3 linked regions of the Caenorhabditis elegans genome follow. Changing the gene in region 3 together with the main gene of any one other region gives a genetic interaction. Each region holds a gene or a part of one and is shown on either strand. Other genes may lie near its edges.

Evidence for each region. A genetic interaction does not mean that the proteins touch.
Region 1: of daf-5 (region 3) and daf-8, changing one suppresses a phenotype caused by changing the other (phenotypic suppression), as found in Caenorhabditis elegans (one study listed by BioGRID).
Region 2: of daf-5 (region 3) and daf-7, changing one suppresses a phenotype caused by changing the other (phenotypic suppression), as found in Caenorhabditis elegans (one study listed by BioGRID).

Annotation. Positions count from the first base shown.
Region 1 is NC_003279.8:8,583,884-8,589,294, reverse strand, and holds daf-8 (Smad protein daf-8), read left to right. Parts: upstream 1-1,787; 5' UTR 1,788-1,805; coding exon 1,806-1,898; intron 1,899-2,458; coding exon 2,459-2,935; intron 2,936-3,132; coding exon 3,133-3,332; intron 3,333-3,536; coding exon 3,537-3,929; intron 3,930-4,052; coding exon 4,053-4,336; intron 4,337-4,545; coding exon 4,546-4,739; 3' UTR 4,740-4,871; downstream 4,872-5,411. UniProt on the Caenorhabditis elegans protein: Probably a receptor-regulated SMAD (R-SMAD) that is an intracellular signal transducer and transcriptional modulator activated by TGF-beta-like daf-7 signaling.
Region 2 is NC_003281.10:809,984-814,313, forward strand, and holds daf-7 (Dauer larva development regulatory growth factor daf-7), read left to right. Parts: upstream 1-1,860; 5' UTR 1,861-1,954; coding exon 1,955-2,083; intron 2,084-2,210; coding exon 2,211-2,450; intron 2,451-2,511; coding exon 2,512-2,693; intron 2,694-2,740; coding exon 2,741-3,053; intron 3,054-3,103; coding exon 3,104-3,292; 3' UTR 3,293-3,790; downstream 3,791-4,330. UniProt on the Caenorhabditis elegans protein: Under harsh environmental conditions, larvae enter a developmentally arrested state known as dauer; TGF-beta-like daf-7 acts to inhibit dauer larva formation and promote growth. May be a ligand to cell surface receptor daf-4.
Region 3 is NC_003280.10:14,032,693-14,039,591, reverse strand, and holds daf-5 (Ski protein homolog), read left to right. Parts: upstream 1-1,870; 5' UTR 1,871-1,877; coding exon 1,878-2,122; intron 2,123-3,085; coding exon 3,086-3,201; intron 3,202-3,295; coding exon 3,296-3,479; intron 3,480-3,778; coding exon 3,779-4,997; intron 4,998-5,635; coding exon 5,636-5,755; 3' UTR 5,756-6,372; downstream 6,373-6,899. UniProt on the Caenorhabditis elegans protein: Probable component of transcriptional regulatory complex with SMAD protein daf-3. Required to regulate entry into a developmentally arrested larval state known as dauer, in response to harsh environmental conditions.

The sequences.
Region 1 (5,411 bases), on a different chromosome or scaffold from region 3:
AACATGCGATATATGTTAATCATAAAACCTTCTAACTTTTTATGTCAGTTTCTATTCTCTTCTCGATTCTCTTTACTTACGAATTCTCTTTCTTCTTCTACCCTTCATCTGTTTTGCTCGTTGTGCAATTGTCAGGAGACATTTAATCCGAGTTAATCAAGAATTTTCGAAATTTATCTGAATCCGATTTTGTTTCTCTTCAAAGTCAGAAGAAATCATAAAAATAATATAAAAGAGGAAGAGGATTATACAAATTTAGAAACATTATTCATTCTTTTTAATCATGATATCTCAAAGGATGTTGTTTACTTCAACTTTTGAAAGGATTTTATAGATAAATTGTTATGATTATTTACTTGTTTTGTTTCTTCCTCCAGTATTTAATCTGTGGTCACTTCGTGGTCTTCAAGGCTTTAGGTTCAGCTCATTTTGGTTGTTTAATAGTAAGTCATATGATACGAAGATTCACAGAATGATTTGATAATAATAATAATACGAAATCTCTTTTTCTATAATATTCTCAGAATGTCATACTTCTATAGAATTTATAAATACATTATTACTGTTTTGAAAACCTTTTTTTCCTAATCTATTCGCCGTCAATTTGGCGTTCTTCTAACATTCAGTATTCGAAATCAATGTTCAAAATTTGCTTAGAGAACACCCCAAAATTAGGTTCCGTCCATATCTTGGCTTTTTTCGCCGCCAGATTCAGAAAAAAACTGATTTTCTGTGAGTTCTATTCTATTTTTTTAATTTCTTAAACAATTGGAAATGGTACAGTGTGTTATAAAATAGTTTATTTATTCTGGTTCCTCATGAGAGCACCTCAATAAAAAGTAGTGACGTACATCCATCTGAAACAAAAATAACAATATGACGCCTTCTTAGTAGTACTTATGTTAGTTTCTATTAATGGACTTTTTTTTAAAATAAAAACTCAAAATAGTCAAAGAAATTCTAAAAATGGACATTTGCTAAAATTTAAGAGAAACGATTTCAAAAGATGAAATTATACTTTCCTCCCAACTTTTTTGCTTTTGATAAATTGCTGGCCGAGTTATAACTATTTCTAGGTCACGTATCAGAAGCCGGGTGAGTCTTGAGATCTTCGTGATGCCTTGTCATATCTAAATGAACGAAACTTGAATAAATTAATTAGGAGTCATCGGCTTCATTGAGTTCAGAAAAATTCTGTATAAAACAAAATCAAGATTCAGGTAAATATCTAGATTTTCGATCATTTTGGAACCGCGTTCCTGATATCGAAAAAACTTCGAATCCATTTAAAAGTTGAATAAATCAAATGAAAACTTCCTCTCATTTTTCTTCATTTCTCTCTCTATTTTTCCTTGATTTTATAGGTGATGACGATTCTGATCAACACAAAAATCTTATCACAAACTGTTGTTTCTTATCATTTTTTACACGTTCATACCAGTTTTCATTCCGAGTTCTTGAATTTCATAATTCTTTCATTTCGCCTTTCTATGTAGATATTGAAACTCCGCCCATTTGAGTAGCTCACCTGACTCTTATGACTTACCAGAAGGTTCTATTATCATTTTGGATATAATTCTGTTTTCTGATTCAAATTTTTTTTGAATTTCGGCAATGCACAACGAAAAATATTAATTTCATATATAAAATCATCTGTACTATTTATTATTCTTTATCCCAAATCAGTCCTTTTTTGTGGTCGTTGCTTTTTAAGCTCGGCCCATTTTTTTGGATTTTATTCTAGCCTAACATCTCCTCCCATATTTTTTTTAATTCTTCGAAATTTCAGTTTTAAAACTACGAAAATGGACGATTTTCCTTCACCAGAACCTACTGATCCCAGACTTGAGGCAATGGCTCAAAAAGTGTTAGAAGAAACTATTATCACTGAAGGAGATGTATGTTTTTGAAGATTTGAAACTTTTTTTTTGAATTTTCAACACAAATAGTCTCGCTGGCTACTTTTAAAAATTAAAAAGCCATCTGCAAATTTTAAATTTCATATTCTAGGCCAGCCGGCGAGCAAGTAAGTGAACAAGAAACTTTAAAAAAGAGCAGAGTTGAGAGATACCGTATCTTGATCAAACATCAAATGTCCAGACATATTAGCGAATTTTTATTTTAAAATATTTAGAATCAACCTACATAAACATTAACTTATACGTTTTCTAATTTTAGAATGTGTCTCTCAAATTAGCCTTTTCTTTTAAAACAGGAAACAATTTTTTTTCAAAAATAGTAATACTTAAAGAAACTGAAAGGATATTTACGACAAAAGGTTTTAATGTATGTTGGAGACTCGAAAAGATCCAAAAAAAAAATAAAGAGAAAATTACAGGAAAAGAGAAAAGCCCATATCTTGTTTTTTAAATTTTGTTATAGTAAACTTTTCCTAAGAAATTCAAATCCTTAAAATTGCCCTATTTGAAGTGTCAAGCTATCCTCAACTATTTTTTAGGGAACAATCTACTGGGCTCTCAAAGTTACCCGATTACTCTCTAGAGTAGCTAAAAAACACCAGTGCTTTGAAGCTTTCTACGATGCCGTTATTAAAGGTGATCCAAAAACACGATGCTGTCCTGCACACAATGAGAAACTCATTGGAAACTTTGGACGAGCTATCATGTGTGTCTTGAGAGCATTCAGATTTCCGGTTATTCGATATGAATCTCAAGTGAAATCAATATTAACGTGTCGACATGCATTCAATTCCCATAGTCGGAATGTTTGTCTGAATCCGTATCATTATCGATGGGTTGAACTACCGACGTGCCAAGTTCCACCAATTATTGTAAATAAGGAATTGGATTACGGTGAACCTCCGATTCGGACTGAGGATGCACTGGATGATTGGAATCAAAAGGATTTGAAAGAGGAACAGGTGGTTGCAAGTTGGGATGTGCCAAATGTGACGATGAGAGGAGATGAAATTAAGGTTTGTTGAGAGATGATATCCCTTTTTGAACTCTTTCCAAAATGCAAAATCCAGTAAATAAGTTGCAATTAATCTTTTTTTTTCTTTAGAAATTTTGGAAATTTGCAAACTTACCAAAAACGTTGACTGAAATATTTGCACGTATTTCTACAAAACATCCACTGTCACCCCCTCACATTCAAAAATAAAAATTTCAGCTTCTCTATGATCGATATGCAGCTGAAAACGGAGATTTTCAATATATGAATTACGGAAATTTTGGCTCTTTTGATGGAAGTCCGTGTAGCTCTACCACGATGTCATTAGGATCATCTTTCGCATCGTTACTGCAACAAAGTAATCGACAAGACGACGAGGAACCCGGATATTATAGATCTGGACTCTCATCTCCAGCTAGGTACGAATTTCACTTTTTTGGAATTTTTTTGTTTTTACAATACTGATTCAACAATCTAAAGAACTGGCTAAACTGAAAGTAGAATTCGAAATTCGACCTAAAGGTTGAAAAAAAAATTAAATTTGGCGGTCGGGCCGACGAAACTGTTGAATATTGGAAAAAATTGAAATATTAGTTTAGATCTATAAAACTTTAAATTTACAGTCATGCAGCTTCTCCTCGAGAGTTTATTCCAAACGGAAATGATACAATAAGTCTGGATCAAGAAATGATGGATGATTCCGAAGTTAGTGACATCATGCATTCCGAGAATTTTTCATCAGAGAACAATGGAAACCGAAAGCCAACGTATGCAGATGGACGGCCTATCACACCAATTGAACCTCGACCACTCTATCGATCTTCGGCATTAGAACTTGGAGATCTGTCACGACAGGCTGGAATATATGAATGTGTAGAATATGAAGAGTCGCCGAGTTGGCTGAAATTAATTTATTATGAAGAAGGAACGATGATTGGAGAGAAAGCCGATGTAGAAGGGCATCACTGCCTGATCGATGGATTTACAGCTAGTCGCACTGACTCAGAAACCAGAAGGTTTGTATCATTGACAGAAGCCCTGGTCTAGAACTTACACGCATCTGAATTTTAACTACATTCACTAGTGTACACTGAACTAAAACATAAATTCAAGTAAATATCAAAATAACATCATTACAGCCGTTTCTCGCTTGGTTGGTACAACAATCCAAACCGCTCTCCACAAACGGCCGAAGTTCGTGGTCTCATTGGAAAGGGTGTTCGATTTTACTTGTTAGCTGGTGAAGTCTATGTAGAGAATTTGTGCAATATTCCTGTTTTTGTACAGTCAATCGGTGCAAATATGAAGAATGGTTTCCAATTGAATACTGTATCAAAGTTGCCTCCAACTGGAACTATGAAAGTTTTTGACATGAGATTATTCTCCAAACAGCTGAGAACAGCAGCTGAGAAGACATATCAAGGTGAGAGTGAATTAGTAATTTCTATTATATCATATTACTTTTCGTCCAAAGTACGGCTATTGTGCGATATATCAAAATTGTCAACTAAAAATAATTTATAAAAAGTTTTTGACATTTTTTGGTGTATAGTTTTTACCGATGCAACTTTCGGAGAATACGAATTCTCAAACCTTCTAGTCAGCTACATTTTTTTTCTTCCAACATTTCAGACGTCTACTGTCTCTCACGAATGTGCACAGTTCGTGTTTCGTTCTGCAAAGGTTGGGGAGAACACTATCGTCGTTCAACCGTCCTCCGATCGCCTGTTTGGTTTCAGGCTCATTTGAATAATCCGATGCATTGGGTCGATAGTGTACTCACTTGTATGGGAGCTCCACCACGTATATGTTCATCCAGAACTTAGCTTCTTTCTTTGCCAAAATCCTAATCTCCAATTTGCGTGTGATCAATTTTGTTGATAGAGAAAGGTTTTTATTTTACTCTAAAACATCAAAACGAGTTTTAAAATTTTTTATTTAAAAATTTAGATTTTAAACTTTTTCTGTGTATTTTTACATTGTTTTTGAGGGCTTTAGAACTGCTCGAGATTTCTTTTTGCAGCTTTTAAACGACTTATGTCAACTTTAAAAGTGTTTACAGTAGCCAAATATTCTAGAATCCTTGGAAATGTAATTTTGGTCTGATTTTTTCCGATCGAGCTTGATGGATTAAATTTAATATTATCAAAAAAAAAAACACTTTCAAAAAGCTGCCAGGATATTCACTTAAATATAAACCCCCTAAAATCCTTGGAAATCATCAAAATAGTTATCCGAGCAGTTTTACGTCCGTCGAAAGTAGTGCACAGTTACGCTTAAAATGTTTCAGATCGAAATTTTATTTATCCAGAAAGTGGCTTAGAGTTTTACAGTGATCTGTTTTCAATAAGTAATTTAGTATTTAAAAAAAGTTTCGTTTTGATATTGGAGCGTGAAATCAAAACCTTTTCTTGCGAGAGTGGAGCACTTTACTTGTGAAAGGATCGGTTGAAAGGAGGAGGTTCTAAGAATTGTAGATCTAAATCAAACGTAGGCGG
Region 2 (4,330 bases), on a different chromosome or scaffold from region 3:
CTCAAAAATCAATGGGTGGCGCGTGTCAAGACCGTCGCGCGTAAATACGCCCCCCTCCCCCCCTTAAAATCGTAGAAGTGAAAAAAAGCACTGTACGAAGAAAGAACAAAAAGGCCGTAAAAGCATTAAAAAACAGCGAAAACACTTATAAGACAAATAGTTTCCCTAGAATTCATAGCAAGGCTTATTTTTTTGCTAATTTAAGAACAATTAAAAATTAAATTATTTTACTAAAATTTTGAAGCACTGATAACTGTTAACTTTTAGCAACTTTATGGTTATGGAAAATTGTTTATTTTTATAAGAAATCGTTGGGTGAAGAATTTGAGATTAAGAAAGAAGAAAGTTCCATAAAAGTTTCAGTATATCCCAGCCAAAAAAATTCGTGAAAGCAATTTTTTGATTTTAAAGCTAAAGAAAAAAAAATTCAAGCTAGTAAGAATTGTCAAAATCAAATATAGCTCATTTAAAACCTCAAACGTTGCTTAAACGGGTCGATGCCCACTTTTAGATGAAGAACGTCCCCCGATGAAGAACGTCGGAATCCGGCACTTGAAGAGAAAAAGTCAAACATTTTTTTGGGTCGAAAGATCGGGGACGCCGGGGGGATCAAACCTCTTTTGCAGCGGGTCGACCACTTCGATATATTTAAAAGGCTGGCCTTACAATTAGGCCTGCAAGACCAGCTAGAAGTATTTCACGGATTTCAATAATTTCTTCTATCTTTTTGAAATTCATGTAAACACTTTTCAGATTTTTCAAATTTCAGATTTATGCCAACTCGGCAAAACGGCCTAACTTCATAGCATACTCTTGCAACTTCTTATCAACAATTAGGCATTTTAGCTTTTAAGCAAACTTTTGCAGCTTTTCAGACGACTTTTGCAATTTCTTAGCAGATGCAAAGCTAAATTTCGCTCACAATCCCGTTGGTTTTCGCAACTTCTTAACAGCTTTTTACAAAGTTATATAAATGTTTTTATTAAGTTGCAGGAGTTTGCTATGAAGTTGCGACGTTTTGCCGAGAAGTGTACCCTTTCAATTTTGAATTAGAGAATAAATTTTATTTTTAAGGAATTTACGGTGTTTTGAATGTTCTTACCTCAACAAATGTTAAACAATTGTTACATTTAATCAGAAGCTTGAATCATGTTTTATCAGACCAATTTTTTCTTTAATTATATGTTAGGCTGCTTATTGAGAAATCGAAATGTAAAAGAAACAAATCTGTAGTTTAATTTGACTAAATTCAACAAGATTTTAAGCTACTTTTAAAATGCGAACAACGACATTTTCGGCAATTTTCAAAATATTCAAAATGTTCTCAAACCATTATGTTGATAACATTAGGTTGATAATGGCAAGTGACCAGAATAAGTATTGAGTGTGTAGTAAAAAAATTCCGATCAGTCTACAATTGCAGATATTTAAAATAAGCGACTATCGGAACTTTTGGCGATTACTGAATTATCGAAAAAATCTGATACCCGAACAGCAATCGCCTTGTTAACTTAATGAAAATTGAATTAATGAGAAATTACAACTTTCAAGCAGACCTAGAATTATTCACAACGTTTTACTCCTGAAATATATTCGCACAGAATCTTTGAAAAGTACAAAAATTTGGAATAAATTTTCATGAACAGAAAACCTATTAGGGGCCAATTCCGCAAAATTTTCTGGAAGCTTCTTTTCTCTACGGTATAGATGAGTTACCACATGGATGTCCAATCGCTGCGCAGGCCACGCCCCTCTGAGATCTCAATATGGATATGAGAGCCCGCCTCATTATGGGCGGAGTTCAGAAGAATGGGATAAAAGGGGGGAATTCAGTAGTTTAAGCCCTCATTCAAAGTTTTTCTTTGGAAAAAACAACAACTTGTTCAAAGCTTTTTTATTTCTACATCTTCAACTTTTTTTCGACTGCCCGGTTCAGCCCGCTTGAAGTTCAGCCATGTTCATGGCATCTTCACTCCCGGTGTTTATCTTCCTTCTTTCCCTCCCACATGGTTTGACGTTCAACTGCACCAACTCAGGTGTTTGTATTGAAAAGATGAAGCAGCACCGAACAGAGTACCTTAAGGTGAGCATTATTTGATCCTGTAAGATCATTCAAGCTTATCCGGATTTGACGAAACTTTACTAGTCCACTAGTTTGTTTGATCACTGTGATTGTGTCTTACTTTAATGTTTCATTTTACATTCTTTAGAACGAAATTCTCGACCAGCTGAACATGAAAGAGGCACCAAAGGGATTGAAGCCAATGGACCCAGAAATGAAGTCAGTCTACCTGGAGATGTATAGGGACTTACTGGAGAAGGACGAGCAGGATATGGGCGTTGAAATGTCATTCTACACCGCCAAAGATCCAAGTTATGGAGAGAACCCGTCGCAGCTTGTTGCCAAGTTTGACGTCACAAATGATTTGGAAAGAAGCGATATTCTTCAGGTATCGTTTGGTTTTTTTTTAAAAAGAATCCTTTTATTAAATTTCAATTATCAAATTTCAGGCCACACTCACAGTATCAATTGAGATTCCTGCAAAGGATTCAGGGATGCTTCAAGATGTTCAAGTTCAAGTTTACGAGAAGAACGAGGATGGATCAATGGGAGAGATGGTCACTTCTGGAATTTTCGCTACAAAGGGATCCGAACGTATCAGCATTCAACTTCCAATTGATACTGTCAAAAGGTATGACGAGCAAACAAATTGCAGGCGACTAATTTTAAATATTCCAGTTGGTTCACAATTTCTCCGATCCAAGGTATCTTCGTCAAGGCAATGCTCGACGGGCGCAACGTTGCCCTTCATCCCCAACAGACCACTGCTGACGTTGACAACATGCGTCTTCAGCTCTCCACTCGTCCAAAGGGGTCCCGCAAACGCCGTTCTCATGCCAAACCGGTTTGCAATGCCGAAGCACAGTCCAAGGGGTGCTGCTTGTATGACCTCGAAATCGAATTCGAAAAGATCGGATGGGACTGGATCGTGGCCCCACCACGTTACAATGCCTACATGTGCCGCGGGGATTGCCACTATAACGCACACCACGTACGTTTCTTGTTGTCTCATAACGTTTCCAAAATGAAAAAATATTTCAGTTCAACTTGGCGGAAACCGGACACAGCAAGATCATGCGCGCAGCTCACAAAGTCTCCAATCCTGAGATCGGATACTGCTGCCATCCAACCGAGTACGACTACATCAAGCTGATCTATGTCAACCGCGACGGACGCGTCTCAATCGCCAATGTCAACGGAATGATCGCCAAGAAATGCGGTTGCTCATAAATTCCACTTCCGATTGTCACAAATGTTAAGTAGTCACCGATTTGTTTCTTCTTAATGAATCAAAATTCATGATTTCAACCCCGTAGTCACATATCCTCTCCTTAGTTGTAGATCCTTCCCTCCATCCCGTTCATCCTCAAATCACGAGGAGCTTCTCTTCTGTCGGTCTCCTTTCCCTCGATCTCATCCCAGAATGCTCGCCGAAATAATTATTTCCGAATCGTGTGTTCACCATTCACCATCCATCTGATATATCCTTTGTCAGCTCTCTCTTTTCGTACCTCGGATCCTTCCACTACCTCCTTCGACAAATGTTGTTCCCCTCCCGAAAGCAACAATGTGATAGGCAACGACTCCTTCTCCCATTTTTATGTGTGTCTGTGCGTGCGTAGTTGTGTTTTCTGAGATTCAATTTCAACAAACCACGCACTTTTTCATCATCATTGACAAGAATATGTTATAAAACACTGTGATTGAGGAATAAATTATTGAGTGCTGTTACACATTTTCTTTAGAGTTTTAAACTCTAAAAATGGCCACCAGAGGCGCCTCGAGCTTAATTTTTTACTTAAAAATTAAGAAAAAATGGGCAAAATACTTGCAAAAAACGTTCTGCAGCATTTTATATAGTTTTCTGAGAAATTGCTTGAACGGTAACAATGAGCTTTAAAGTTCTCATATTTACCACGGTTGTACGATTTAACAAAAATCTCCATACACTTGGTGTCAGGTCTGGACAGTTCTGTTGCCACTTTGCTAAACAAGACAACTGTTTTCATTGAATTTCATTCCTACAAATACGACAGTAAAGTTTATATTTCCCTGTTCTCTAGAACATGACATTAGAAACCATTCCCAACAATCGTTTGAAAAAGTTGCATTAGCAAGGAGAAGAATTTAATGTAAAGAGACAAGTAGATAAGGATCTTAAGTTGTTCGTTTAGTTCGTTTTTTCGGTGAATGATAGAATGAATACAAAAAGGTATTGAACTGTTCCGAAAAACTATTAGGAACTTCCCGAAATTAAGTTTTGAAAAT
Region 3 (6,899 bases):
TTAATCCTACCTAGCTACAACTGTTTCAAGTCACATCTTTCTCTGATTATTTTTTTTCCTGTATTTCCACAGACTACACTGATAACGTCTATAACGCTAATCCCTCAGTCACATCTTGTTTTTGCAGTTTTTTTTTCTTGTTATTTTCAAGCAAAATAATAATTTCAAAAACCATTAGGTGTTCAAAATTCATGTTTATGTAGGAAAAATACATCTGCATTTTGGCTTCGAAAATTCTCACGCGTTCCTCACGTATAACGCATAAGCTTCCAGTTGTTTGGCTTGATTTCTCATGAATTGTGCACAATTTTTTTTGAGTTGAACGGCTTTGGGCAGTAATATCTATAGATAATTATATGCCATTGTGTTTTTTGTGTTCTTTCAAATTTTCGCTGACGTTTGTCATGTGGCGCTGAATTTCCAAAGTTTATTTCTCGTGTCACAACTTTGAGCTAATGTATCTCTGTGGGTATGAAAGTTATCAAAAAGTTGTTTACTAACAAAATATTCAACAAAAAAGTTTGTACAATTTTTTAGTTGATCACTTTTTGTATCATCAATTCCTGCAGAGATAGGCTGCTCCAATCTTTGCACACCTGAAACTACTATGTTTCAATTTTGAGCCATCATATCTCGGTTGCTTTGTGAGCTATCAAAAAGTTGTTAACTAACAAAATATTCAGCAAATTTTTTTCTACCTTTTGCCAGTTGATTAAATTTGTGTTCCACCTATTCCTGTAGAGATAGACTGCTCCAATCTTTTTGCACTTTTTTTGAATTCTATGCTGTCTCATCTTTGAGCCACCATATCTCAATTGCTATAAATGCTATAAAAAAGTTGTCAACTAAAAAAATGTTCAGCAAATTTTTTTCTACATTTTGCCAATTTAAAACATTTTTGTATCTACGCCACCGACACAGCTATAAGCTTTTTCGCAACAACAACAACTTATTGCTCTTTGCTCCACCACCACCCCATCTTCTATCTATCTTTTCGCATATACAAACACATTTCCAACAAGACCATACGAATCAAAAGATCGTACGTAGTTCCTCCTCCCCCCTCCCACCTACTACCGCCAGCACTGTCTCACTCTTCATCTGTCCCTCTTCTTTCTCGCCCACTTGGCTTTGCGATAGGAACCCAATGTTGCAATGTCCGTCCGATTTCTTCGGGGGTCTAGACTACATACATTTGTGGTGCTACATTTTTTTACTGATTTTCTTAGAAGTTCATATTTCAATTTTCTAATTTCTGGGCTACTACCGGAAATATCTCTAGACGTCCTAGCCTCCAAATCACAATGTTTTTTCGTAACTTTCAAAAGTGTAAGATCATATGTAAATCTTGACCTATAAGACTATATCCACCTTCATCAATTCCGTCACACTTTTCGTGTTCTTCTTTGTTATTGTAGTTAATCCTAATCCTCCAAGATCTCTGATAATCTTTTTTTTTTTCCTATTTTTCATTTCGAAACTCAAAATGTTCGGGCTCTCAAGTCTGGCATAGTAAATTTTACTATATTGTGTCAATAGCGTCTGTTTGTGCTCTCGCAGCTAGTCGATGGTCAAGAGTTCAACACGAAATGGGCGGATAGCGGCGGGCACACGAGAAGCAGCAAAAAGACACGCCTTCTGGGGCGGAGCAGAGTTTCTGTCTCGCCGTCTAATTCCTCATTTAACACCTTTCACAGATTTTTGCGCCAGGCCAGCTCATCTATCCTCACACATCACATGTGATTTGTGTTCTGTGTGTCAATATGCCACATCATTGTTATTCTGATAAATATATATTTCGTCTGTACATATTTTGCATTTTCGCTGCTTCCTCCCACCCACCCTTACCTAATTCATTTCCTTATTACAGATCCTATATGTCCGACTCGCCGATCGGCTCCTCGCAGCAGGTGGAGCCGGAGCACCGAACCCCAGACCTCATGGACATTGATCCATTGATTGCGAACTTGAAGGCGTTGCATGAGGAGACGAGATCAGACGACGATGATGATGGGCAACCGTCGACGTCGGCGAAGCGGAAGGATTCTCGAGCCGATGGGATTGTGATCCATCAGAAGAAGTATAGCGATCCGGGGAGATTCTTGTGGATTTGGTTGTTGGGGTGAGCAGACTTTTACTGCTGAAAAATGGGCTTAGGCTTAGACTTAGGCTTAAGTTTGGGCCTAGGCTTCGGCTTAAGCTTAGGCTTCACTTCAGGCTTAACCTTATCCTTTAATTTAGGTTTAGTCCTATGCTAAGATTCCTACGGAATTTCAACTTTTTTTCTTTTTTGCTGACAAATAGACTTTTAGGATTAAGCTTAGGCTTAGGATTAAGCTTAGGCTTAGGCTCTGGCTTTGTCTCAAGCTTAGGCTTAGGCTTAGATTTCTGCGGAGTTTCAATCTCCTCGCTTTTTCAAAATCGCGAAACCTAGAACCAAATGTCGAGAGTCTCAAAAACCCCCTAATGAGTCACATTTAATTTCACCTGCTCGACATATATCCTCAAAAAACATTAAGCAACACAAAAAAAAGAGAGGGACTCCAAAAATCACATCTCTCCCCTTCCTCATTCTATCCCATTGCTTTTTTCTCCGCGCACTTCTTCCTTCTTACTAGTGTCTAGCCAAGGGGTCCCAAATCATTATGCATTCACATTTGAGGCGCGCGCGCCCCTCACAATGTCACATGAGGGTGAGGAGTAGCTGCAGCAGAAAAAGAAGAAAAAGAAGAAGGAGCCTGCAACATTTTGTCGGAGCTCAAAAGAGCACATCCTGTACGTACACATATTTCGCCCCGCCGCCACTTCAACCTGAGCAAAGGTCAGCGTAAAGCTTTGGGGGTGCAGCGAGAAGTCTGGGACAACAAGCCTAGTAGCGTAGTTTTATTTTCAAAAAACAATCACAAGACCAAGAAGTCAATGGCGTCATCGTCTAAAAAACAGCAAAAATATTTCCACAAAAACATGGTGCACTTCCATGTTTTCGATAGGGCAGCGTGTTCACTCTATTTTATTTTGTTATCCAGGCGACTAGTTTGACTAGTTCCGTCTAGACCTCGGAAAAAAAAATTCAAAATTCTTGCAGAGTCCGTGTCCCAGCGTTGTCCATCGATGGGGAGCCACACCTGCCGATTGAGATTCTCGATGATATGCTCACAAAGAAGGACAAGAAGGATCAGATGTCGTTTCAGAATTTGCTTCGTAAGTTTTTTTTTCTTTTAGCATGATCTCTCTCGGGAACACCAGGCACCCTCGACCCTTTTAACAGGACTTTGCTGAAAAGGTAATTTTCCAGGCTACAAAAACGTCTACATCCGAATGGCGTCGCCATCCCAGTTCCGAGCAGTCATGGAGAAGAGCAAGGAGTGCGAAAACCTCAACATCACATCGCTGAGCCTGATGAGCCGGTCGGACATTGAACGGATCATGGGCGAGCTCCGCCTGGAGAGCATGCTCACGTTGGCCGAGCACGACAACTGGTAAGTGTGGCGAGCCTAAGTTCCACTAGCATAAACACTCCTGTGAGGCCGGGGCAGCTCTCTAATTAGAAGCAAGCTCCGGACGCCGCGCTTCCTACGCATCTCTCACTCTAAATAGAGAGCCCGACAAGAAAACAATTTCTCGGCCAAAGCTCATTTTTCAAAAGAGAGAAGAGACATCATCTTTCGAGTCTCTTTGAATATCTGAATAGTTTTCGGGGTCAAAAGGCCAAAAACTCAACTAAAAAAAAGACAAAAAAAACCAGCTAGACCAACAAAACAACCAAAGCCATTTCCAGGGACATCTCCGATCGAGTTCACGTTGTGCACGTCAACTTCATCGACTACTGCAGCGAATGGTTGGAGAGCGATGACTTGGAGGAGGATGTGATGCAGAGTGGAACACACGGCTATTGGTACAAGAATCGGCGGAACATGCGATGCATCGAATGCCAGCATTGTGAGGGAAAGTTCACACCGACCGACTTCATCATGCACCATCACTATCCGATCAAGCCGAGCGGTTTTGTGCACACCGGCTGTAACAGCTTCCAGTGGATTCGGCTTATTGAAGTATTCGATAAATCCAATGAGAACCTGGAAGCCTGGAATAAATTTGTCCTGAACTCGCACAGAGCTGGCAAGCGTGAATACGATGAAGCTGCGCCGCATCAGGCGCCGCCGAAGAGACCCGCTATGGAGACACCTGTGCCGGTGGCCGCGGACAACGGCTGGGAAGCTGATGAAGAAGAGGAAGGCGAGGAGATTGTGGATAGAGATGCAGATATTGAGAAGTGCAAGTTGAGGAACAAGAAGAAGATGGAGAATCTCCATATTGCCGACTTCCTCGGACCATCTGGATCCAAAGGCCTAAAGCCTAGAAACAAATTTGAGGCAGTCATCATCGAGCAGCTTAACAAAATGGACGATGCAGCTCTCGAGGCTTTATTCCTGAAATCGCCTGAAGAATACAATTTGTGGGTGAAGGAGTCCGATTTCACACATAAAGTCGTCACGCAGCAGCAAGAATGGAAGGCAAAGATGAAGGATCCGAACTTTAAGAGTCGAGCGTCAGCGAACTTCGACGTTTCCAAAGGAGAGTTCGACAACATGCGCCACTTCGACAATGCCTCCAAAGCCACGCGACAAGAAATCCAGCAGCTCGCCGAGCAATTCGCCAATCTCGATCGCGACGCCAAACTTTTGACTCCAATGGAGTTCGTGTTAAGAGAGCACGCGTTGCTCAAGAATGTCTCGGCAGACGCGATACGTGTACTGTGTAACCGTCCGCCACTGCCGCCACTGCCGCCACCGCCACCGCCACCAAAACCAAAGCCGGCTCCGGTACAGCCGATCTCGTTGGGAAATATCAACTTTGTGGCGTTAGCCCAGCAGCTGATCGCGTCTGGGATCAAGCTTCCTCTGCCGATTGTGACACCGCCAGTGGTTTCTACGCCGGCGCCAGTGATTACGCCGATTCCTGCAGCGTTGCCGATCTCGCCGAATTCTGATTTTTTGGTAAGTATACATGGGGAGTTGAATTTTTTAGAGCTCCCGTTTAAGCACTCGTAGATCTAGAGTTGAAGAGACACAGACATTCCTCCGTAAATCGACACAAATCGGCTCTTCTTGCTCCCGCGCCCTGGGTCCCGGGACGTCTGTGTCTCTTCACACTCGCTGGACCTGTGCTGCAAACACCAACACTTTGATTTTACTCCAAAATACAGAAAAGCTGATATCTCGGCTCGTTTTAAAGATCTTAGAAAATGAGAGCTACATCACGTGGTGACATGCTGTCCCATTACGGTTTGATCTACAAAAAATGCGGGAATTTTTCGCCAAAAAAAATGTGACGTCAGCACGTTCTTAACCATGCGAATTCAGTTGGGAACTCTGCGTCTCAACTCCCGCATTTTTTGTAGATCTACGTAGATCAAACCAATATGGGACACTCTGACAGTGTATTTTTTCCAACTTTCACGACTTTAAAGAAGGGCGCATTTATTCAAAATGGTCTCGCCACGCGCTCCAAAAATCGATGGATGGCGCGTAGCGAGACCTTTAAAGTCGTAAAAGTGTAGAAAAAATACACTGCTACTAGTTTGTGATTTGCGCTTATTAATTTCTATTTTGAAATTAAATATAACTAATTCCAGAAACAACAACTCTCCACGGCCATGTCATCTCCAGCTCTTCTCTCCCTCTACCCGAAGCTCACCGCCGGTGCCTATGAGCAATTGGCCCAGTTTATCAAAACCACCACCGTCAAGAATTGATTAGATGATCTTTCTTATTCCATTATGTATTCCTTTCTCCTTCAAGCCAAACCTATCATTCCTTCATGTACAAAACACTTGTGAGAATTGTTGCACCCCACCCCGGTTATGTACATATATTGAAAATGACGCTAGTCGTATTGTTTTTAAATTCATTTTACCTCTCTGTCTGTCTCTTTCTCTCTTTCTGTCCCACATCTCTCTCGCCACTTGCCATACTATTAGGTACCTCTTTTCCCCATTTTTTTCATATTCCTATCTGTTGTTAACACCGTCCTCTCCACAACAAAATACGCACTTTAAAAAATCAATGTATCTCTACCAAATGCTGCTACTCGAAAACTTGTACCTATTTCTAATAATCTTTTCGGTTCGAAATTCCTCTTTTTAATAATCACTTCTTTTTTTCTGTTAATATATATATATATATATGCTGCCCGGTTCAATATGTATTTTGTCATTCTTGAGTAGCCAAAATCCCCCCAACTCCCCCCTTCGATTCAGGACAGTCTCCATCCCAAAGCAACAGTTACGGTATCACTGCGTTTTTTATTTTCGTCGTTTTTTCTATCTATTTGTGCAAATTGAATTTGACATTCAGTAATGAACGTATTATTTCTATTTTTTGGCACATTTTGCCGATTTGCCGGAAGTTTTTAGTTCCGGCAATTTGCCGGTTTGTCGATTTGCCGGAAATTTTCAATTCCGTCAATTTGCCGGTTTCACAATTTGCCGGAAGTTTTCAACTTTTTTTTCAAACGTTTGCAGTGCTCAGGTTAAGTTTTCAATTTCGGCAATTTGCCGGTTTGCCGACTTGTCGGAAATTTTCAATTCCGGCAGTTTGCCGGAATTTTCCGGTTTGCCGACTTGCCGAAAATTTTCAATTCCGGCAGTTTGCCAGTTTCCTAATTTGCCGGAGGTTCTCAATTCCGGAAACTTGCCGGTTTGCCGATTTGCCGGAATTTTTCAATTCCGGAAATTTGCCCGTTTGTCGATTTGCCGGAAAAAATCGTTTACCGCCCACCCCTGGTGTGTCTGCTTAAACATTAAAATAACTCATTTTTGTGTCATTTTACTAAATTATTGGGGAAAAAATCAAGTTTTGGTCAAAATTTTTCAAAAACTTTTCGCCACAAGTTAAACT